Tribolium castaneum: one gene and its partners. The protein of the gene in region 6 binds, or shares a complex with, the protein of the main gene of each other region. Links are inferred from orthologs where the notes say so. Each region holds a gene or a part of one and is shown on either strand. Other genes may lie near its edges.

Region 1 (4,037 bases), about 12 Mb from region 6:
CCCAGTATTTGAATACTGTGTTCTGTACGGCAATGCATACATTTTTCGCCGAGAGATTTTTGATCCAAATATAATCATTAATTTCGCATCTTAGATACATATTATAACCGAACTCAATCGGAGTATATTTGTGTTTACTTAGAACGCACACACCCTCTGAATTTACAAACGGCAAAACGAGGAAATTTTCGGTAAAATCCGAAGGATTTCGGTATAGCTGTAATTGTTGTTTGTAACTTGTTGCATTGCTAGTCGAGTTCGTATTATTTATAGGAACATTTATAGAAACGATATTTGCGATTAAGATTGGCTTGCCAACTAAATATCCCGGATTTCCACTAAGGTGCGATGAATAGTTCAAAGTATGGTTCCACCAAATAAAATTAACTTCAATCGTTTGGGAAAACTCCATTTCCTGGTGGTAATAAAAAGTGGCACTTTTCAGAATCAAGTAAAGTTCGACTTTTATCAAACCGTTGCTACCATTATGATAAAAATTGTATCTAACGTTTTGTACTAAATTAATACAAAACAGTTCGTTGTTTGCAATGTTAACTTTGCAGCTCGATTTTATTCTCGTGTCGTTTGGCGATATTTGGACGCAGTCTTCAAAGTCTTCGTTGCATATTTTTGGCCGAACATTTAGACAAACATCTTTTGTACAATTCTGGAAAGGAATAAGTCTGTTTGGTTTCCATAAAAGTATAGTACCTACCTTGAGAAAATTTTTGTGTTTAGACACATTTAGCAAACCAGGATTTGCAATTATTGTCATGTTTCTGAAAAATGTGTCGGCTTTTAGATAATAATTATCTGCGGATATGTTCGTATGACTACAGCTGCTCTTGACGTCAATTAAATATTTTATATCTTCTTTGACCACGCAACTAGTTACCACAAAACTCTTAAGAAATTCTACGATTGAAAAATGGTTATTTAGATTATTGATTTAAGATTTGGAGACTAACGTAAGTTTTCAATTGTGTTATTTCTTAAAATCAATAAAGGTTTTCCATAAGTATAGTTGAAATAATTGAATATTTGACTATCTTCATGTGTAGGCTTTGGCCAATTAAATTTATTTTGTCTCTCGAATTGAGCATCTTGTAATGACTTCAACGGCTGGAATTAAAGTTGTAAAATTATTTTTATGATTTTTTTAAGACTTTATCTTACTTGCTTTCTTTGGACTATGTAACTTGCTGGTAAATTACTACGCACAATACAAAATAGTCCGTTTTGGTTAATTTGAAACTCATGAGGTGTCTTATTAACGTAAATATGTTTTACGTATTGGCAATATCTAGTATCATATTGACGGAAATCTTCTTCACAATGATCAAACACAAGTTTATTTTCTAAGGAACAGTCTTTGTCGCAACAGCAATTCAGATCACAGTAGTCGATCTAAAATCATGCGTAAAAATATAATTTATTAGGGAACATATAGATACTTACAGTTAAATCACAAATACACAAATTCTTGCTTGATCGTTCCGATGTTTTTATATGAAAATGAAAAAAGCTCGCGGGAGTCGGGGTTGTGACTAAAGCCGTTGTTTGTTGAGTTGGAGGAACAGTTACTGAATTATTAGTTGAATTTGCAAAACAAGAACTGTTGGCTTTGCAAGTAGTTGTTGGAACAGCGGTTGTGGACACAATTGGTGACGTTGTGCCCTTTTTAACATTTGTTTCACTTGACTGGGTTGTGGTCACATTTTCTAAACTTGTGCTTTTTAACAAAACGCACAGTATTAAAACAGTCGGTAAATTGTTAAGTAGTTTACTCATATTCCACTCCATAATTGCTGAAATTTCTGAACAAGGACTCGTCATTATTACTGTTTTGTGCCTTATTATTACCTAAGTACAACACACAGTTCAAATGAAACAACTCCCATAGCCTCCGTAGAGAGTTTATAACGTTCCCCCGAAGAGAAGATCAAGTCTGGATTTTTTATTTGATACCCACCTCCCAGAAAATACTGCACAAAACGATCTTTTATTGTACCAAATGGTCTCCAAGTGTAGCAGTCCAAAATATGGGTCCCGGGAGTTGTAGGAACTGTTATGAAACCGTAACCGAAAATGTGACTCCGGCCTAGCCAATCTAAGTGATAAACTTGCAAATAAATCTTAGGCCAACCTAAAATTCGGACTCATTAAAAAAATAAACGACTTTTTTGAAAAATTATAAACCTTGAAGTCCAGCAGTGGCTAGGTGAATATCTATTGGATAAGACCACTTGCAAACTTTACCAAACTGAGGTGATGTTACTTGAGTTTGACCTTCCTTCTTCCCAGAAATAACTTTCCAGTTATTACCTTAAAATTTTATAATAATAAAAATAAACATGAACTGACTGACAGAGCAGTCGATTTTAGTCTTAAAACGATAGAAATACTTATCGAAAAGGCAAAATAAGCGTCTGTTTGATACAAAAATCAAGAAAAGAAGTCAAGAGAACCTCACCTACTTGGAGATACCATTTACAGAACAAATTCTGCTTTGGAAAATCTTTGGCTTCAGTTATTTGCCCAATTATGTGCACTTCTGCCATAAGGCCAGAATACCATCAAATGATAACTGTTTTCACAACAAACAAAACTGAAATAAAAGAACCACCTGAAGAAAATGCCAAACATAAAAACAATATTTTTGTTTACAATACTGTTTTCCGGTTGCCTAGCAACGATTTTCAAATATTTTAAGGGCGGGGGTCAGTTTTGTGTAGGAATAAAAAATAAGCCTCCCATGACTTGATACAACAAATTGGATTCTTTGCAATTATTGTTGTTATAGACAACAAAATGAGTGATTCATCAGTTGCCAACAAGGCTGTTGGTAGTCTTTTTCCCAAATTTAATTTTCTTTTCGCAAAAACCCGTTTTTTATTTAATGACTTGTGCGCAAAAGCAGTGAGAAATTGCAGTGCGCGTGCGCGCTATCGACAAATCAGGAGGCGTTTCAATTGAGCGAAACGTGAAGATGGCCGTGAAAATTGTCAGTGACGTTTCTTTCACCTTTTGATTTTTGGCAAAATAACAGTTTTTACCACTTTTCTAACTTGTTGTATGAAAAGTAAGTATTGTTTCTTATTGTTTACAACCGGGACGTGCCACTTGACCTTGCTGTTGTCGTTATGTAAATGATAAGGTTATTGGGGAAATGTCGTTTGATTTTGAAATCTTGTTGTTATTTACATAAAAAAAACGTTTCTTCTTGAAGGGTCCTCTGTTTGGGTAATCACATGAATTAGGCAGGGTAAGGTATCTCAAGTGAAACCGAGCGAAAATCTCAAGCCTCCATGTTGTAGATTGTTTATAGACTTCACACTTTCGTTAAAATAATGCCGAGACGTGCTAACAACAGTTCTTCGGAGAATGATCCCCCCAAAAAGAAGACTTGCAGCAACTCCTTTGATTTAAGACATGGGGAGTACCTAAAAGACATCACAGGGAAGCAGTGGAAATTGGGGAAACCTGTGGGTGTTGGGGGCTTTGGGGAGATCTACCTGGCCTCTGATGTCCTCACCAAAGAGGTCAAGACTGATTGTCAGTACGTGGCTAAGGTGGAAAGCCATAAAAACGGGCCGCTTTTTGTCGAAGTCAATTGTTACCTAAGGATTGCTAAACGCGAAATGAGTAAGTCAATAATTTGCGGAAAAATCGCATAATTGGAATCGTTTCTAGTTGAAGAGTGGAAGCGAGCAAAGAATATAAGTTCCCTCGGAATGCCCCACTATGTGGCGTCAGGTTCCCACGTCCACAAGGGTGAAAAGTATCGTTTCTTAATCCTCCCGAAATTTGACAGAGACTTGGAAAAAGTCCTCCAAGAGAAGAAAATCCTAAACCTTAAAACAGTGCTCACAATATCCCTCCAAATAATTGATGTTTTGGAATACATCCATAGTAAAGGCTACATGCACTCCGATATCAAGGCATCTAATATTCTTCTAAGTAACCAAAATAAGCCCAAACCAACCGTCTGTAAACGAGTGTCAAGCGGCTGCACACGAGTATCAAGCGGCTACACT
Region 2 (2,642 bases), on a different chromosome or scaffold from region 6:
AACTGATATAATTAAAAAATAGCAGACTATACAAGACAGGAGGTAGAAAATTGATTAAATCAGTAAAAAAACAAAAGGAAGAAGGAAATAAAGGTTAAAAAAGACAAGTGAAAGAGAAAGGTAGATAAAGAATAGAAAAATATACATGCGACGTTGGATACAATAATAATGTTAATAAAAAAAATATTGAAGCATTCTTTTGTTGACTTAATGTCGTTTTAGTTTATTTGAATTGTAATTTTTTTTCTTTTGTTTTGCTGTTTATTAATATAAAAAATAAACTTAGTATCTCGGCCAACTTTTTGAAAAACATAATTATATTTTTGGTGTTCTATAGTTGGTCACCTTATGTAAGCATTACAATCGCATGACATAGGAATTCAAGTTCATGGATAACTCGATTATAAATTAATTTGATCGCTTGATGACAGAAAACCAATTGAAACCGAATATTTATATTAAATTAAATTATAAACCATTCCTTCATTAATCAAGTAAGCTGTGCGTAAAAAAATATTTATTGACCCAAATCGTTACAAAAATTAGTCTTTTCCTCTCCCGAAATCATATCCAAGACTCCTCACACCTTGCATTACGACATTCACCGAAATCCTCACTTCTCCATGACTCAACATCTGAATTACTGAAACCAAAACTAGAACTAGAAATCTTTGCGTGTTGTGACAAACATACAGTGATTTCCGGCAGTAGTTGCCAACATTTTCGGTTGCAACAACTCGGGCTGGTACCCGAAAAACGCCCCCATGTACCCCAACAACGAGCTGGCTTGGGGCTTCCCCAAAGCCACGTCCACCCGGTGCATCCCCGGCCTCAGCGGCATGTGCGCCCGCCCGTACCCCTCCAGCTGCACCCCCCGGTACACACTAACCACAATTTGGGGCCCTGCAACCACAATTGAACGCCTCAAAATGCAAAATTTCGAACTCACATCCGTAAAGATTCGTCGATTTGAAATTAATCTCAATCGGAAGGTTGAACACTACTAAAGCTCCGTTCACGACAACGTTGGAGGTTTGGGACACGCCGGCCTCGAGCCCCCCGATTATTTTCCAGTCCGGGCCTGTCACAAACTCGTACTTGCAGTGCCACGCGGAGCCCGAGGGGGCTAAAATGTCGACAGACTCAATCTGGCCCGTTAAAGACACCAGAAAGGTGCCGTCGGACATCGTGGGGGCTGTTTGTATTGTGGTTGCTATGGTAACTTATGTCATCTATATCATCAAAGAAAATGGAAAATTGGGTTTTGGCAAATGTTTTCTAACTCGAAGCAGTAAATAAATGCTAAATTTTGAAAATATTACTAGGACCAGGATAACAGGAACGCAAAGAGGTCTTTAGAAATTTCGAACCACAAAATTACAGAAACCTGTAAGGTTTGGAGCGCCATCAGGTGGAATTTTTGTAGTATAAAATTTGAATTACTTTTTGCGTTTCTGTGATCCTGGTACCAAGAGAAATTTCAAAATTTGCCAGAATTTTTAACTCGGAATGTTTGAAACACCTGACAACTCCAAATTTTAGCAAAATTTTATACCTCTTAAAGCCGGACACCTCTTCGTGTTCCTGTGATCCTAATACCACTCCTAATACTTTCCAAATTTTACCAAAAATAGTCAAAATTATCAAAAGTATCAGGGACGCAGGGAGGTATTTGAATGTAATAAGTAAGTTTTAAGCGCCATCTGGTGGGATTTTTAATGTAAAATAAAACACAAGTTCTGAAAATGGATATTTACTTACATAACTTCACTATAGATACAGTTCATAACGTAAAATAATTCTAGACAGTAAAAATAAATAATGCGGTACAATTTTTACATGTGGATGCGGTAATGTACAAAATAATGAAGCGTAACTTAGAAGAGAAGTCGAAAGAAGGCAAGGCCTGTGTCGATGTACGTGAAAAACCGTAACTTAAAAATAAGTTTTTTGATAAAGATACATTGACATTTATCGTAAAGTTACATGAAATATTAAATGAGACATGCATTCGAACTTCCAGTCTTATTCCAAGCATCAAATCATGAATCTTTGGCAGTTATTCCTTTATCAATACGATGAATATAATAATAATGTACAAAAAATTGAAACACGAACGAAGCGACGAGTGCCTCAAAGCCACCCATCACCTCACGTCCGGCTTGTAAAAACAGCTGTTTGATTATAAAAACTGTGTACAATCGAAGCTGTTTTGGTAAAAATTATTATCCCTAGAAAAATCTAAATTTAGACAGCTATTTTACCATTACATAAGTTTCACATTAATATGTAAAATATTTTTAATTACGTAAATTTGTTCTAACATTAAACTGACTTATTGTGACATTGTACTTAGCACCACCGAAATGGCAGTATCACTAAACCGACTATCCTGACACGGAACGCATGAGCAAATTTAGTGTGCTTTCAGAATAAGTTTTGTTCCCATTTGGTTGGTATCATGTGCGGGAAAATGTCACTGCAGCCACAATCGACGCACCCGCCTCAAAAACCACAACCACTGACAACAACTCAACACGCCCTCTAGCTGTGACTTCTATCATTAAAATATTTTATTTTGTCACGTTTTTTCAAAAATTATTTTAAGTAAATGTGTTTTTTAACCATGAAGAGTGGTTTGT
Region 3 (2,550 bases), on a different chromosome or scaffold from region 6:
CAGTGGCTGCGGCGGTAAAAAGCCCCTTTTTGGGAGACTTATGCATAAATCGTTTCAGAGCCCTTCATTTCATTTCGCGCTTCTTCCAGTCTGTGATCGATGACTCCGACAATAATAATAACACGCAGGATTTGTCCATATTTGTGAAAAACGCGTACAAGGAGACTCTGGAGCGGTACCACGGCTGGTTGGGGTCTCAGTTGTTTAATGTACTTTCGTCATTTTTTCAAAAATTGTGGCTTATCCCAACAAGTTGTAGATTTTGTCACGGTTTACCCCAAACCGGCAACAGCTTTTCTACCAACTCGCGCTCGAGAAGCACCACAAGGAGGACCACGTTTTGCGTGATATGAGACAGTTCACGCTCAGGATGTCCTCATGTGTTCAGAAGCTGGTGGATTTCTACCAAGAGCATGATCTCGAGACGAATGATAGGGTCTAGTTGTTGTACTTAGAAATTTTATATTTGTTGATCTTCCAGTTGTAAATAAAACGTTTGGTATAGATTCATTTTTTATTCACTCGGTAGCGTTCTTGTACATCTGCAAGCGTCACATCTGATCTTAATTTCATAATGCGAAAGTAAATTGCTTGTTGCGCTGCCGTAAATTTCAAAGCACAATAGCTTGACACCAACTGAATGCATAACATCACGAACATGATACTTTGCACTATTATTTCTATAACATGCAATTTGAAGTTAGGATTGAATAACAGAAGACCTTGTAGAGGAAACTGGAGCAGTAAGGACAACATCCAAAAGCCCGCCAGTTCAGGAATCTACAATCTTATTTATTTAAATCGTCCGCAAAGTGGCCGTGATATTCAACAAACTGTGCACATGTGTAATATTGGTTGCATCTGCCGACTCAATTATTATCATTAACTTACTTTATCCTCAAGATTTCCCTTGTACCCTAAATAGAGTCTTAACATTTCCAAAAGGAAAACTGTCGAAATGACCGTTATGATAATAAACTTGTACAGTTCGCTAAAGCAGAGATACTGGAATTGGTATTTCGAGTCATTTAGTAGTTTTTCGTAGTTAGTCTTACTGTATTCCTTAAATAAAGCACAAGAATGGCCATCCAAAATGGCGCGAAAATCACGTTGAAATAGAGCGACATCTGCAGCGGCAAATTTGACATAACTTCGTTACCTAAAAAGCCTTAAGGAATCGTAATTAACCAGGCATGTTTTTACCATAAACAACATTATCGATTTTACGCGAAAGGCCTGGAAACACTTTATCAGACACTGACGTCACAGTTTCCTTCCAATCCATAATGAATATTTTGAGCAAACAACAAGGTCAAGATTATTTTTAATGTTCTGATTGTTAACAGATTGTTGGACATTTATGTCCTGAAATTGATAATCTGGTTTTGTTTGTATTAACTTGGGGTTGAGTTGCTTGGAAACCGTAATCAAATCCCCCACATTTGCTGGTATTGACCACTGCAGGTGTTTATTTTTGCATTTTTTTTAACTTTATTCTTTCTGTCCGATTGATGTTATTCTCATAAGTTTTAAGCTAACAAAAAAATGATCACAGATATGTATCGGAGGAAAATCTTCAAACAATAACAAGTGGTTATCCGAAAAGTTATCAGATAAAATGTTATTACGTAAGCAACGAAGGTCGTTCATTATTGTTGAGTACACATACCTAAAACAATGTGATACAAGCTACCAGAAATAATAAATATGGAAATACGAGACTTAAAACAGTGAGTATTTTTAATTTTAGCACCACTTACCTTTCGTATTTATTACCTTTAATCTTTTTTGAATTGTTTCATTTATTAGCTACTAGTTTACAATTTAAACAAAGTTTTATATTATCACAAATAAAAAATAGCATGGTCATTGTTGAGTCACTGGACTGAAAACTTATTGCTAAAATAATTTTAGAGCTGAAGAACTGCTTGTGAAATCAACACACGAAAACATTTTTGACTACATTGATGAAGAAATAGTTTCGTGGGATTTACCCAACCATGGGGATTATCCAGATCTGGTACCAAAAATAACTGACTTGGTTTACAAATTATACACAGAAATATTCCCGGAACAAAACAATCCCAGGAACTTTGCGGCCTTCCAGTGGTAATAATTTATAGGCAATTTGTTGTACTTGTTCTTTCATTGGTGATTTCAAGGATTATTTTTGATAAAATCCACGATTTGGTCGTGCCATGCATTAAAGCGAATTTGTTCCGAGAAGATGAAAATTTCTTCGAACGGTGCTCATTTTTGTGCAAAATTAACGTCTCGGCAAGGGAATTTGGCGCTGATGATAATTATAGTATCCCGTTATGTGCTGCCGTAATTGAAAATATTTTTTTAACTGATGCGTGTAATGTTTTTTTTAGGTTGTGGAATTGTCGGTTATAGACAAATATAAAAGTCCCAACGAGAAAATGAACTGTTTGTGCAGTACGTACGATTTAGTATTTGCGGAAATAAAGACAGCGATGGTTTCAGTAATTTCAGAAAGGTCAGGTAAGTTGCATCTTGATTTATTGTATGTACTAGGTTTTTTTAATT
Region 4 (4,117 bases), on a different chromosome or scaffold from region 6:
CCGTTCCCGACTTTTCAAAAAATACTCAGGCCAGGCAAAATTCCAAATGATTGCGATTGCCATCAGGAGACAATACGTGACGATAGAGAGCCACCAAATGACCCGTTCGACCGTTGTCACTTCTAGGTTTCTTAGGACGTTGAGCCCCACCAAGAGCCCGGCAATAGCCCCCGCAAAGTGGGCCATGTACCCGATATGTTCGTCCATTTCGAGGAAATACCGATTGTAAATGGCGGTCCCAATGTCGGAGGCCATAATGATCAAAAAAATAAATAACTGGACGATGGGGAACGACATTTCCCTCCAATTCATTATAATGGTGGCTATATGTGCCGTGATGAGGGAGTAGACCCCACCGCTGGCCCCCGCAAGTCTCACGGTGGGGTCGGCGATTGAGGTAGCAAGCGACCCGGCGAGGACCCCCGCGAAATAAATGAGGAGCACTCGCCACCACCGGTGCACCATTTCTAGCGGAGTCCCCAGTAGAATTTGCACCAAAAGATTGACAAACAAATGGAAGGCTCTGCAATTAATTGGGTGGCTAACGTCGGTCAATTGTTGATTAATTACCCAACGTGCACAAACATGTAAGTGATGAACCGCCAAGCCTCCTGTCTCTTGTAGGGGTCGTAGATGAAGACGGAACTGATGGGGCCCGAGGCCGATTTGGTCGAATCCGCCTCGATTGCCTCATCCACACAGAAAAAAATGACCTCGATTAGCGAAATAATGATCATGCCCACGGCCGGGGGGTAGCAGGAGTACTGGTCGTCGTAGGCCCCGTCCACCTCGCTGGCGCCCCGTCGGCGGGGCACCACCATCTGGATGTACCTGTTGACATAGTGCCCGAAAACGTACTGGAGGTCCGGGTGGTTTATCATGTCCACGAATTCGGTGAAATCGATTCGGTCGTCGTGGTTCTGATCGGCCATTTGGTGGATTTTCCGCACGACGTGCTCGGGGATGTCGTGGTCATATTCCCGGCTCTCGATCAGGTCATTCAGCTCCCCGATGTTGATAAAACCGTCATGGTCCCGGTCGTACTGAAAGCGCAGTTTGGGTGATTGCTACTAAACTGGGGGGCTCACTTTGTCGAAAATGCTGCGGTAGTAGGCGTTTTTGCGGCTGGCTTGGAGCGGCGTCTCCGAGTTGGCCATGGCCACATAACCTCAATTGGCGCACACACACAATCACTGTTTACGTTACTAACACTCGTGTTACTACATGTTATCACTTATTATTATTATCACTTTTGTTTTGTTAATTATCATTACACGGTTATGTTTTGGTAACTTTGGGCCCAACTGGGGGAATTCCGCGCCTGGCAGGTTTGAAAAATGGCGCGCGGCTAACGTCATTGTTGTGATTCACGTGTAAAACACTTAAAATGAGTCAGGAGGAGACTTTGGTCAAATACACGGCAATTTACAGGTGCTCGGATGACATCACCAACTTGAAAATAAGGTAAGTAAAGACACTACGTACACAATTAAAGTTCAAGGTTCAAGAGTGAAGTTGCGCCAAGTGGGGGATTTAACTGGCGAGGATTCGGACGGTTGGGAGCAGAAAGACTTCGCCTGGCAACAGAAATGCTTCAGCAAGTCAGAAAGGGAGTACTACAAGGACGAAAAAAACTGTATCACAGATCTGGAGAAAAAGTACCATTCGGACGTCGGGGAATCACACACTGAGGCGCATTTTGACCTGTTTTCGTACACCAATGACGACGATTTTGCCCTCAAACAGGAAGTTAATGACAATTTCCGCGAAAATTGCGACGAAAATGGCCAGGGGTACGACTACGGCCAGTCACTTGTGGCAGCAGTGCGAAATCCCATTGGTCATAATTACGAGTTTGAGGTCATGTACATCATGGCGGACCTCGGGTAATTCCCCCGAAACGTCCGAGTGACTATAAAGCGATTTGTTCGTAGCGAATACATCGATTCGACTTGGCTCAAGCAGGAACAAGTCCTGTGTGTCGTTAAATACGACCGGAAGTACAAAATATTATCAATTAACCCCGACTTTACCAAATCCCAGCCGTATTTAATCCGACTTGAAGGCGCCACAATTCGCAAATATCACTATTTCCTTGAGAACGTTTCGGCCCAAATGCCTGAGGAAGCCCACCGTCGCGAAAAAGAATTAATCCGAAAAGTGTGTGTTGTATTATCCCCGAATTTATCTTATTTAAAGAATTTGCAGATAAATGGCCACAAAACCGAGCTTTTGAAATGTTTGAGTTTCAAACTTCCCGCCAAAAACAAACTGGCCGTTCATTTGTTCATGGAACTCGCGTGGGCGCAATATTTCGAGTATGGACCAATCTACGTCCAGTATTTCATCGACTTGCCGTCGGATTGGTCCCCGACTGACCAATCGCAACTGCAGGGCGTGACGCAAACGTGTCACGTGACTGGCGATGAGGGTTTGGCCCATTTCGGGCACGTTTTCGACGTTACGTTAGAGTACAATATCGAGGATTTGGGCAAAAGGGGAATCCCCAAGTGCCCTTATATCTACTTTGAGGTTATTTCGAAGGACACTTGGAGTCGGTATAGGACTGAAGGGCTGACTTATAAGGCCTTGCCCGTTGCCAAGCCGGGGAATTACCGGTTTAACCTACAATGTTTCCGGTTAATCCCCGACCGGATTTCCGGTCAGTTACGCCGGTTTTTTATTGGCGATTGTTCAAGCTATGGTGACTTGACTTGGGTGGGATTACCGAAACATTACGATGTGAGTTGACTAAATGAAAGGTTACTAAGGCTTAAAGCGGGCTTAAGCCGACACCGAGTGTTGCTCATTTAGGTTAGGTTTAACTAAACCTCGGCTTATTGCTAATATTTTTAATAAATTATTATTGTAGATAACATTATAATTTTGTTGAAATTGGTCAATTTTGTTCAATAGTATAAACTAACACTAGAAAGCAAAAAGTTACTTGCTTGCATTGGATGAAAAAAAAAACAGCAAAAAAAGTATAATGATAATAATTCACTTATTCTTATTCCATCAATATATTTTATCAGTATTTTTTTTATTGTAGGACAAATTTTTAAACATGAAATAAATAAATGCCGCATTTTATTGATACATTTTTAAACATAAGATTTTTATTATAACGATATTATTGCTACAATGTACCGAAATATTGATAAATGGTGACATTAATGAATCTTAACCTAACTTTTTAAAATCAGAACTGTCATAAGTGCGCAAGCGTGCAGTACTACCAACCGCAAAGTTAAGTTCAGCGCGGCTTAGCTGAGCAACACTGCAGTTTAAGCTCAGCTTAAAATGGCGAGCTTATCTAAGGAAATTTTTTTTCCAGGGGTCTGTTTTAAATAAATATGGGACTAACACGGTTGGTACCGGTCTGATCAGCGTGACCGTTCACGTCGTCCATCAAAGCCAGGCGTTTCTGGACAAATACAGAGAAAATTCCGAGGAAAATTTGGAAATTTTCGAAAAATTGAACTCGTCAAGTTTGGTCAAAAGCGTGGAGCAAGTGCTCCAAGCGTTCAAAAGGGCCCGAAAAAACATGATTGCGGCCCGGAAATTTTTATAATTGTTGTTTTATTTTGAGAATCAATAAACGTGGCAACGCCGCACTAGGTATAAACCAAAATCGATATATCTGGGCGAGGGACGATCGGACCGGTTCGGGTCACATCGGGCGACTTCGGGCTGTCTTTATCCATGTTTTAGCCCCAAGTTTGGGCTTTGGCCCCATGGTGTGCCTGGAACTGGCTTCCAGTTCACCCCTCTGTCTTTTGGGATGCTCTGGGGGGCTCAAGTGCCGCTCGAGTCTTAGCGAGGTCCCCGTGGCACGGCCGCCCTGTTGCCACGCGTCCCCCGTTCATGAACCTGTCTCAAATTGTAACACAGTCGCCTATTTTGCAAGTCATTGACACGTCGCTCCTTCGGGGGTGCCATCGATAAAATCCATTCCTGTAATTTCTCTCGTCACGTGACTAATAATTTCAATTTTTAAACAATTCGTCTATTTGTGACCGGATCGATAAGGCGGCCATGGCAACTCTTTTTTCTTTTTGGTAGTTTTTGCAATTGTGTTGGTACTTCCCCAAGTCGGGATTGGGGCCAGGCGTAC
Region 5 (3,167 bases), on a different chromosome or scaffold from region 6:
GTATTGTTTGTAAATATTCACAACAATAGTTGCTAATAACACTTTCTGATGTTAGACAACTATTGTTGCTGAATATTTACAAAGAATACGAAAAATAAAATATGAGAATAAATAAAGACAATAAACTTGTAATAAAAATTTATTATCACTAGTCAATATACACGATACGATAACTATAAACTAATGATTGATCCATCAAATTATTTATATTCCCACAATAAAAAAGTTCAAAAAAGCACACACACGAAAAAAACCACAAAACAGTACTAATTTCACATAAAACAAAGCCGAGGGCGAACACCAAACAAACCAAGCACAAAATGGCGATTTACACAATGGCAACTGTCACAGGTCCACTGTTAATTTCTGCCGATATTATAGGTAGCTTCGCTAAAATTGACTATACGTGTGTGCGACATCTGCGATAGCAAGCCGAACTACAGTCGATTTTGAATTTGGCGCCTATACTTGGCTTGGTGCATTTAGGTTTCACCACCCTGGTTCAAGTGGACGATCTCCTACAAACAGCAATTGTTCTGGAAGACAACAGGAACGCAGTTTCGTCTTCTAGTTCGTCTTCAGAGCCACTAGACTTGACGTTGTAAATAAAACGATGATAATAAAGTTTGTTAAATTTTTATTGTTTTTTCTTCACCGGATTTTCTTCAAAAAACAGTATTAATCTCCTGCTAAAAATATAGTGCTTTATTTTTGCAATTATCCATGAGATTATTATGTAAAGTGAGAGGTACTGGATCCAGGCCCACTTCAGTACTTGCCAAAAGCCCGGCTTGTAGTATATCCTGTCTTCTGGAAATTCTATATTTAAGTTTAATACGAAATTTTGAGTTTTTCCAGGAGAAAAACTTTTATAGACGTCTCTCAATGATGTGGATACTGAAAAAATATGTTAGTTATTGCTTTGTAGATTCTTTAACTTATACTGTTTCTCTTTGAAAAGTTTGTGATAATGGTATTTATGTCATAGTTATTTAAATCCCCATTATCCACAATCACAGGATAATTAAATAACGTATTGGTGTTTTTTCTGTGGCAAATTAAGGGGCTAGTTTGGGTCACAACCACATTAGCCACCAATGAATACTTCGATATATAAAATGGTAACAATTCTTGAAAAATAATGGCAGTCTGCATTTCAAGAGGACAAACCTATTGGAAAAAAACAGAAATATAGAAAAAAGAACACATTCGAATTTCTTACTTGTAATTTATAATTAAATGGAATGATTATGCAAAAAGACGTGAGGTGAGTATTAACTGGAAGATTAACTTGGAGAGACAAATCTAATTCTTCTGTTTTACCATCAAAATTTCTGTCAGTTTCACGAACCTAAAAGGCACAATATGTAAATTAATAGTTACAAAACTGAAAAAAAAAACCTTGATGACTGAACAAGTATCTAAAGGCCGCAATACATTATCAAAGTGGGGTAAATTACTACACGTTATAACAGACTTATTGTAATTATTCGTAGTAGCAACAAAAATGTATTCTCCTCGAAATTTTACATCCGGTTGTTCATAAAAAGTGTCTCTTTTTAACCACAAGCCTGAAAATTTGCTATCAGAACTATCTAATTTATTAAAATTAATTTCTTACCCTTGCTTTTGTATGCAAAAATAAATGGTAACACAAGCGATAAGACCCCAAAAATTAGGGCTAGCACCGATGCTTTTGATAGAAGAGTACTTTTATAAGAAATTTTTATATTCTTTGTAAAAACTTCTAAAACTACCATCATTAACATCACAAAAATTACGTCTTGTGGTTTTTGGTCGAATTTTTTATTTGTTTACCTGTCAACTTTGAATACAAACAATTAGGTTGTCATGACGACGACTGTGTGGGTAATTTGAAAATGCTAGGGCAATGACCGAACTGCCAAAAAAGGTAACGGAAACAAAAAAAACGGCCATTATGAGAATATTAAAAAAATCCTGATTTTGTTTAATTTTCTCTGTTTTCTTTAAAACGTGTAATTTCCTTAATTTTGTACATCGATTTCCTCTGCAGTTTATGTTATAAACAAATAAAAGTAACCTTTACGTTCATTTCTTTTTCTCTCAAAACAAAAAGTACGTTTACAATTTGGCGCCTTTACGTTCTTTTACATTTTTGCCGCATTATTTTTTTATTTCTCTCAGTTTTAAGCTCCGCTTTACTTTTATACGCCTATGTGTTCTCTCAATCTCTTATTTTTGTTTACGTGTTGTTTCCTTACCTTTTCTACACTTTTTTTCATAGAAAAATTGTTACACCTGATCCGGGTTCGAACCCCCGACCTCCCCCGTTGTAAGTGGTGCTTATACCACTGGGCCACGAGGCCCCAGGTACTGACCGTGTTTTGCAGATATTTTAACACAAATTTTTTAACTAAACCAACATTACAAACTATATAATTGCAATAATTCACGTAAAACGCAAATATTTTTAGTTCAAAAATCCGCAAATTTGCTCGAGAAAACATTTTCTTCTACTATTTTTTAATTTAATTCTTCAGATTTCATCAAAAGATACCGGGCAAATTGGTGGTTGATGAATGATGACTTGATGAGTAACGATATCTATATATTGGCAATGACATACTTAATTCTTGCGTTATTTGGTTTTTCCAGTTAAATACACTTGAAGAAGAAAAAATGTGTAATACTTGGTTTTCCAAGAAAATTAATTATTCGGTAGATATTAATCGTAAAACTAGGTCACAATTTTTCACCATTTATAAAATACTTTAACAATTTATATTCTTTATTTGGAAATGTATTTAAATAAAAAAAGATGGCAATAATTTAATACTACATGATTAATAAATACTATATCTAGTTTAATTTATTAAAATTATAGTGGAATTAGTTACGACATTTAATTAGCGCAGACTAATACAATTTATCAAAATTTTTATAATTCTTAGAACTTCTAATTAGTTGAATACAACAGTTGCTCTGATGTGACTTAAAACATATTTTTATCGTTAAAAAAAATTAAGATAACCTTTATATACTTAATAATGGTTAAATTGATTCAAATCTGTCTAAGAAACCATAACAAAATAAATGAAATTTGAACTACGAGTATAGTAAAGCAATTGAAAAGGTCAATTTTAATAATTATTATTTATTACAAAACAGTTATTTTAAGCTTTTCG
Region 6 (4,139 bases):
AATAAATTGAGAAATATTGAAATCTTTTAATGACTACTCACTTATCGTCACATGACAAACGCTGCTCCAAAAGATATAAATGCTTGTTAGGTATTTTGGGACTGGAAGTGACATAAAAGCCTTCATCTTCCAAAAATCTGGGTTCTTCAGTCTCGATTTTATCAGTGATGTCAACAGGTTCTCTAATTAGATGAATTAGGGTTTAGCAAAAATTTAAAGGTAAATAGAGAATGGCAAGACAAATCTATTAAGCAAAATTTATGTAAATCAAAAATGCATAGTTTTCCTGAAAAATTGTTTTGAAATTAAAGTCTCAAATTTTGAGAACCGCTGAACTAGAATTGTAAACATTAGCGTAAATTTTATTATTACTAAGTAAATAAATGCTTTATTGTTTATAATACAACGCAATAATAGAAATTACCAAATAATTACAAAACAGTATAAACAAAATATTAAATATAAACTATAATAAAGAAAAATACAAACATACGATATAATAAGAAAAAAAAAGTTATGAAAAAATACAATATATTAAGAGCCAAGACGCAGCAAGTTAGACAAAGAACAACAAAAAATATCACACTCTGAACAAATTTGGTTATAACACCTACACATGGCAGACACAGGAGATTTTTATTTTTATTTTAAGAAATTTAATTTACCTAGAATATAGGAACAGTCAATCTGATTGTGTATGAGTTTGAATAAAAAAGTTAAAGCAAGTTGTTTTCTTCGCATATCTAGAGATGGCAAGTTAAACATTCGCAAAAGCGTCTCATATGGAAAACCTCTATAAGGGTAATTCCCCTTGGTTTTAAAATATAGATATTTAAGAAACTTTTTTTGTAAATTTTCCAAATGTAATTTATGGCTTTCATAAAAAGGATTCCATATGAGAGCGCAATATTCAAGTTTTGATCTTATTAATGTAAAATAGACAGTTTTCAAAGTTACAATATTATTACATTGCTTACTGTGTCAAATAAAATACCAAGTTCAGCTACCGTATCTGCTCCAAAACTGATTGATCTACTTTACAGTCATACTTAAGTGGATGTTTTTTCTTAGAATAAGTAATTTTGCATTTAGAGATATTTAATTTAAGTTTGTTTAAATTACACCAGTTAACTAATTTTGAAATTTTGGATTGTAAAGTGAGACATTCCTGTAGTGTCTTAATTTCAGAATACAATTTAACATCATCAGTATACAAGAGTGTTTCGCAGTTAAGACTTTCCGGTAGGTCATTTATAAACAATAAAAAAAGAAGTGGTCCCAAGTTAGACCCTTGTGGTACACCAGATGGGACACTACACTTCTTAGACGCGAAGCCATTGTATGACACAAAGAATTGTCGGTTATGTAAATATGACTTTAAAAGTTTTATCAAAGCATCAGAAAAACCAATGTCTCTTCATTTACTGACTAAAATGCCATGATCGCGTTTGTCAAACGCTTTGGATAAATCAAGTACGTCTACTTGACCATGGTTATCAGGAAGTGTATTCTGTAAAGCAACATAAATATGTTGCTGTAGATCTTTCATACAAGAAACCATGTTGCGAAGAAGAAATAAAGTTTTTTACAGAACTAAATATATGTTGGTACACAATCGATTCAAAGATTTTGGAAAAATTGTATAGAACTATTGACACAGCAGCAGAGATAAATTAACTTCTTGGTCCACTACGTTATTCTTCTATTTCAATTTGTGTTTTGTGATTAAATTTTACAAAAAAAAACAAAAAATGTTTTTTGTCAGGACCGGAATTCGAACCTCCCACACATGTTTGCCACAATTTTGAAAAATTCTCAAAATGCCCATGCGCCATAATCTCCATTTGTTTAATAAAAAAATAACTGTCAATAAACCGCCATAAGCCCCACAGTGGCTCTCAACAGATGGGGTAATAAAAATTTCCGAAGAAAATACGGACTTTTTGGATATAAGGGTTTTTAACTCGTCTGACCAGGACAAATTCATATACGAAATATTGCCAAGCCATTCCCTAACACCCTGTATTGTCAGCTACTTACGCCTGAGGAGTGTAAAATAACGCGTCTTCTGATTTCCTTAGAAGCGTTTTTATTTGCTTAGGTAATGAAAAAACTAGTGCGGGTCCGTCGTCGGTCAGATCGTCAGTTGATTGAAAATTGTCTTCACTTTCTTTCTCTTCAGTTTCGTGGCATTTTTCACTAGAAAAAAACTCGAAAATGTGCTTGTTATCTGGAGGTTTTCCCAGTTTAAGACGCTCTCTCATTAATTCAAGCTCGGCGTCGATGTCGTGACTTTCCCTCTTCACTTTTTCTAACCGAATATTTTCTGCAGCTTCCTTGAAAACGTTTGCCTTCTTTGTGGATTTCCCAGCTTTTTCCTTTACATTTTTGAACCTTGCGTTAATTTTTTCTCGGTATGATTTACTAGGAGTTGAAAGTGAGACTGGTTTCGGCTTGGTGAAGACTTCGTCGGATAATTCGGATGTGTCTTGGCTGTCGGAGGTCAAAACTTTGGCCCTTCCCTGGATTGAGGGCGTTTTGATTGTGAACATTTCGAAAACATCTTTCTTTGAAGGATTGGAAAGGGGCGATTGCTCCACTGGAGAAGTTACCTTGTTCCGATTTTTGGATTTTCTAGGTACTGGTTTTATAGGGGAATTCAGTTCGCTGATGTCATCCTAACAAGATTATAATAAATGAATAAATTTTAACAGTATTTTTTAATTTACCTGCGAAATTGACATTGTTGTGACTGCGAGTAACACAAACGATTCTTGTAATCGTTTGTTTGTTTGTATTCTTGGTGTCTTAGTTACTGCATAATATCCACTTGTTGCTTCGATCAATAACGGAATTTGGTTGAAAATTAAACTAGTGCAGTAAAGTAATCAAAGTTGAGTTGTCCATTCGGAATTTTACATTTAATGGTACAACTTGAATACATTTCAGGGTCCTGACAACAACTTTTAGCAATACAGGGTGTTAGGGAATAGCTCAGCAATATTTCGTATGTGAAGTTGTCATGATCAGACGAGTTAAAAACCCTTATTTAATTTTTCCAAAAAGTGCTTACTTTCTTTAGAAATTTTTATTAACCCGCTTGTTTTTTTTTGGTGGTTTATTAGCGGCTAATTTTTTCATTAAACAAAATGGAGATGGTGGCGCATGGGCGTTTTGAAATTTTTTCAAAATTGTGGCTTATACAGGGATGCTCAAAAACTGGCGCACCAACTCAGTAGTACGTTATTGAGAAGCAAGTGCAGATTACGGGAAAAATGTTGAAAAAATTCCTAAAGTCATATTTTAAAAAATCTGGAGCTACAAACTTATTGTGTTAACTTCTTTAGTTTTCGTTATTTTTTTATATTTCTATGTTTTATACCAGGTAATCGTTCCATAACAAAACGATGAATAATTATTTTAAAATTTACTATCAGATTTTAGCAGTTTTTTTAATTTAAAAAAAGTATAATTCATCAAAAAAATCACAATGTGTAGATGTGCCAACACTGGGAATTATTTCCTAGGAAACCGTTTCAAAAATAATTTATTTTTATTGTTGATCAAATTCTATTGCGATCATGACTGTTAGACAACGTTGCCACATATCATTTACCTAAAATTAGTTATTCATCAATAACTTTAATACAAAGATTTTTTTTACTATTTTTACCATTATATGTAACCACTTCTCTACCACACACCATTGAGTTGGTGCGCCAGTTTTTGAGCACGCTGTATGTTTATTTGTGTGGGAGGTTCGAGTCCCGTTCCTGGCAAAAACAATATTTTTTTGTAAAATTTTATAACAAAACACAAATTAAAACGAAGAATAACGTAGTGGACCAAGAAGTTAATTTACCTCTCCTGTTTTGTCAATAATATTACAATTTACGCTAATTTTTATAATTCGAGTTTAGCGGTTCTCAAAATTTGGGACTTTAACTTTAAGACGATTTATTGGGAAAACTATGCATTTTTGATTTACATAAATTTTGCTTAAACGATTTGTCTTGCCATTCTCTATCTACCTATAAATTTTTGCTAAACCATTCCCTAATACGCTGTATAATATACAGTGTGTTTCACATAATTTGTTCCGTCACAAACTCGATTACAAATTTTGAAAAATTTGGTGG

Evidence for each region.
Region 1: Cc2d2a (region 6) and B9 domain-containing protein 2 share a complex: the UniProt entries of both Homo sapiens proteins name them as parts of the tectonic-like complex. The link is inferred for Tribolium castaneum from reciprocal best matches to the Homo sapiens genes CC2D2A and B9D2.
Region 2: Cc2d2a (region 6) and B9 domain-containing protein 1 share a complex: the UniProt entries of both Homo sapiens proteins name them as parts of the tectonic-like complex. The link is inferred for Tribolium castaneum from reciprocal best matches to the Homo sapiens genes CC2D2A and B9D1.
Region 3: Cc2d2a (region 6) and transmembrane protein 17 share a complex: the UniProt entries of both Homo sapiens proteins name them as parts of the tectonic-like complex. The link is inferred for Tribolium castaneum from reciprocal best matches to the Homo sapiens genes CC2D2A and TMEM17.
Region 4: Cc2d2a (region 6) and Mks1 share a complex: the UniProt entries of both Homo sapiens proteins name them as parts of the tectonic-like complex. The link is inferred for Tribolium castaneum from reciprocal best matches to the Homo sapiens genes CC2D2A and MKS1.
Region 5: Cc2d2a (region 6) and transmembrane protein 231 share a complex: the UniProt entries of both Homo sapiens proteins name them as parts of the tectonic-like complex. The link is inferred for Tribolium castaneum from reciprocal best matches to the Homo sapiens genes CC2D2A and TMEM231.

What each region holds. Positions count from the first base shown.
Region 1 is NC_087394.1:33,825,128-33,829,164, reverse strand, and holds the start of B9 domain-containing protein 2, read right to left. Parts: upstream 2,801-4,037; 5' UTR 2,562-2,800; coding exon 2,474-2,561; intron 2,326-2,473; coding exon 2,200-2,325; intron 2,147-2,199; coding exon 1,864-2,146; intron 1,818-1,863; coding exon 1,784-1,817; 3' UTR 1,459-1,783; intron 1,408-1,458; 3' UTR 1,177-1,407; intron 1,123-1,176; 3' UTR 969-1,122; intron 916-968; 3' UTR 716-915; intron 668-715; 3' UTR 1-667. Other genes in the region: serine/threonine-protein kinase VRK1, read left to right, coding at 3,351-3,645, 3,694-4,037. UniProt on the Homo sapiens protein: Component of the tectonic-like complex, a complex localized at the transition zone of primary cilia and acting as a barrier that prevents diffusion of transmembrane proteins between the cilia and plasma membranes.
Region 2 is NC_087399.1:9,020,794-9,023,435, forward strand, and holds B9 domain-containing protein 1, read right to left. Parts: upstream 1,344-2,642; 5' UTR 1,188-1,343; coding exon 950-1,187; intron 904-949; coding exon 694-903; intron 644-693; coding exon 543-643; 3' UTR 501-542; downstream 1-500. UniProt on the Homo sapiens protein: Component of the tectonic-like complex, a complex localized at the transition zone of primary cilia and acting as a barrier that prevents diffusion of transmembrane proteins between the cilia and plasma membranes.
Region 3 is NC_087395.1:14,182,041-14,184,590, reverse strand, and holds transmembrane protein 17, read right to left. Parts: upstream 1,338-2,550; 5' UTR 1,286-1,337; coding exon 1,204-1,285; intron 1,160-1,203; coding exon 1,056-1,159; intron 1,006-1,055; coding exon 892-1,005; intron 781-891; coding exon 508-780; 3' UTR 501-507; downstream 1-500. Other genes in the region: glycolipid transfer protein, read left to right, coding at 1-14, 59-209, 260-442; ankyrin repeat domain-containing protein 27, read left to right, coding at 1,708-1,730, 1,915-2,109, 2,163-2,328, 2,376-2,505. UniProt on the Homo sapiens protein: Transmembrane component of the tectonic-like complex, a complex localized at the transition zone of primary cilia and acting as a barrier that prevents diffusion of transmembrane proteins between the cilia and plasma membranes.
Region 4 is NC_087401.1:10,813,135-10,817,251, forward strand, and holds Mks1 (tectonic-like complex member MKS1), read left to right. Parts: upstream 1-1,324; 5' UTR 1,325-1,387; coding exon 1,388-1,464; intron 1,465-1,508; coding exon 1,509-1,886; intron 1,887-1,934; coding exon 1,935-2,160; intron 2,161-2,208; coding exon 2,209-2,742; intron 2,743-3,337; coding exon 3,338-3,574; 3' UTR 3,575-3,617; downstream 3,618-4,117. Other genes in the region: rhomboid-related protein 2, read right to left, coding at 1-523, 571-1,043, 1,089-1,157. UniProt on the Homo sapiens protein: Component of the tectonic-like complex, a complex localized at the transition zone of primary cilia and acting as a barrier that prevents diffusion of transmembrane proteins between the cilia and plasma membranes.
Region 5 is NC_087398.1:6,906,697-6,909,863, forward strand, and holds transmembrane protein 231, read right to left. Parts: upstream 1,853-3,167; 5' UTR 1,770-1,852; coding exon 1,622-1,769; intron 1,572-1,621; coding exon 1,402-1,571; intron 1,352-1,401; coding exon 1,223-1,351; intron 1,171-1,222; coding exon 945-1,170; intron 898-944; coding exon 638-897; 3' UTR 606-637; downstream 1-605. Other genes in the region: mitochondrial import inner membrane translocase subunit Tim21, read left to right, coding at 501-605. UniProt on the Homo sapiens protein: Transmembrane component of the tectonic-like complex, a complex localized at the transition zone of primary cilia and acting as a barrier that prevents diffusion of transmembrane proteins between the cilia and plasma membranes.
Region 6 is NC_087394.1:21,750,270-21,754,408, forward strand, and holds the start of Cc2d2a (coiled-coil and C2 domain-containing protein 2A), read right to left. Parts: upstream 2,801-4,139; 5' UTR 2,745-2,800; coding exon 2,730-2,744; intron 2,679-2,729; coding exon 2,041-2,678; intron 183-2,040; coding exon 42-182; intron 1-41. UniProt on the Homo sapiens protein: Component of the tectonic-like complex, a complex localized at the transition zone of primary cilia and acting as a barrier that prevents diffusion of transmembrane proteins between the cilia and plasma membranes.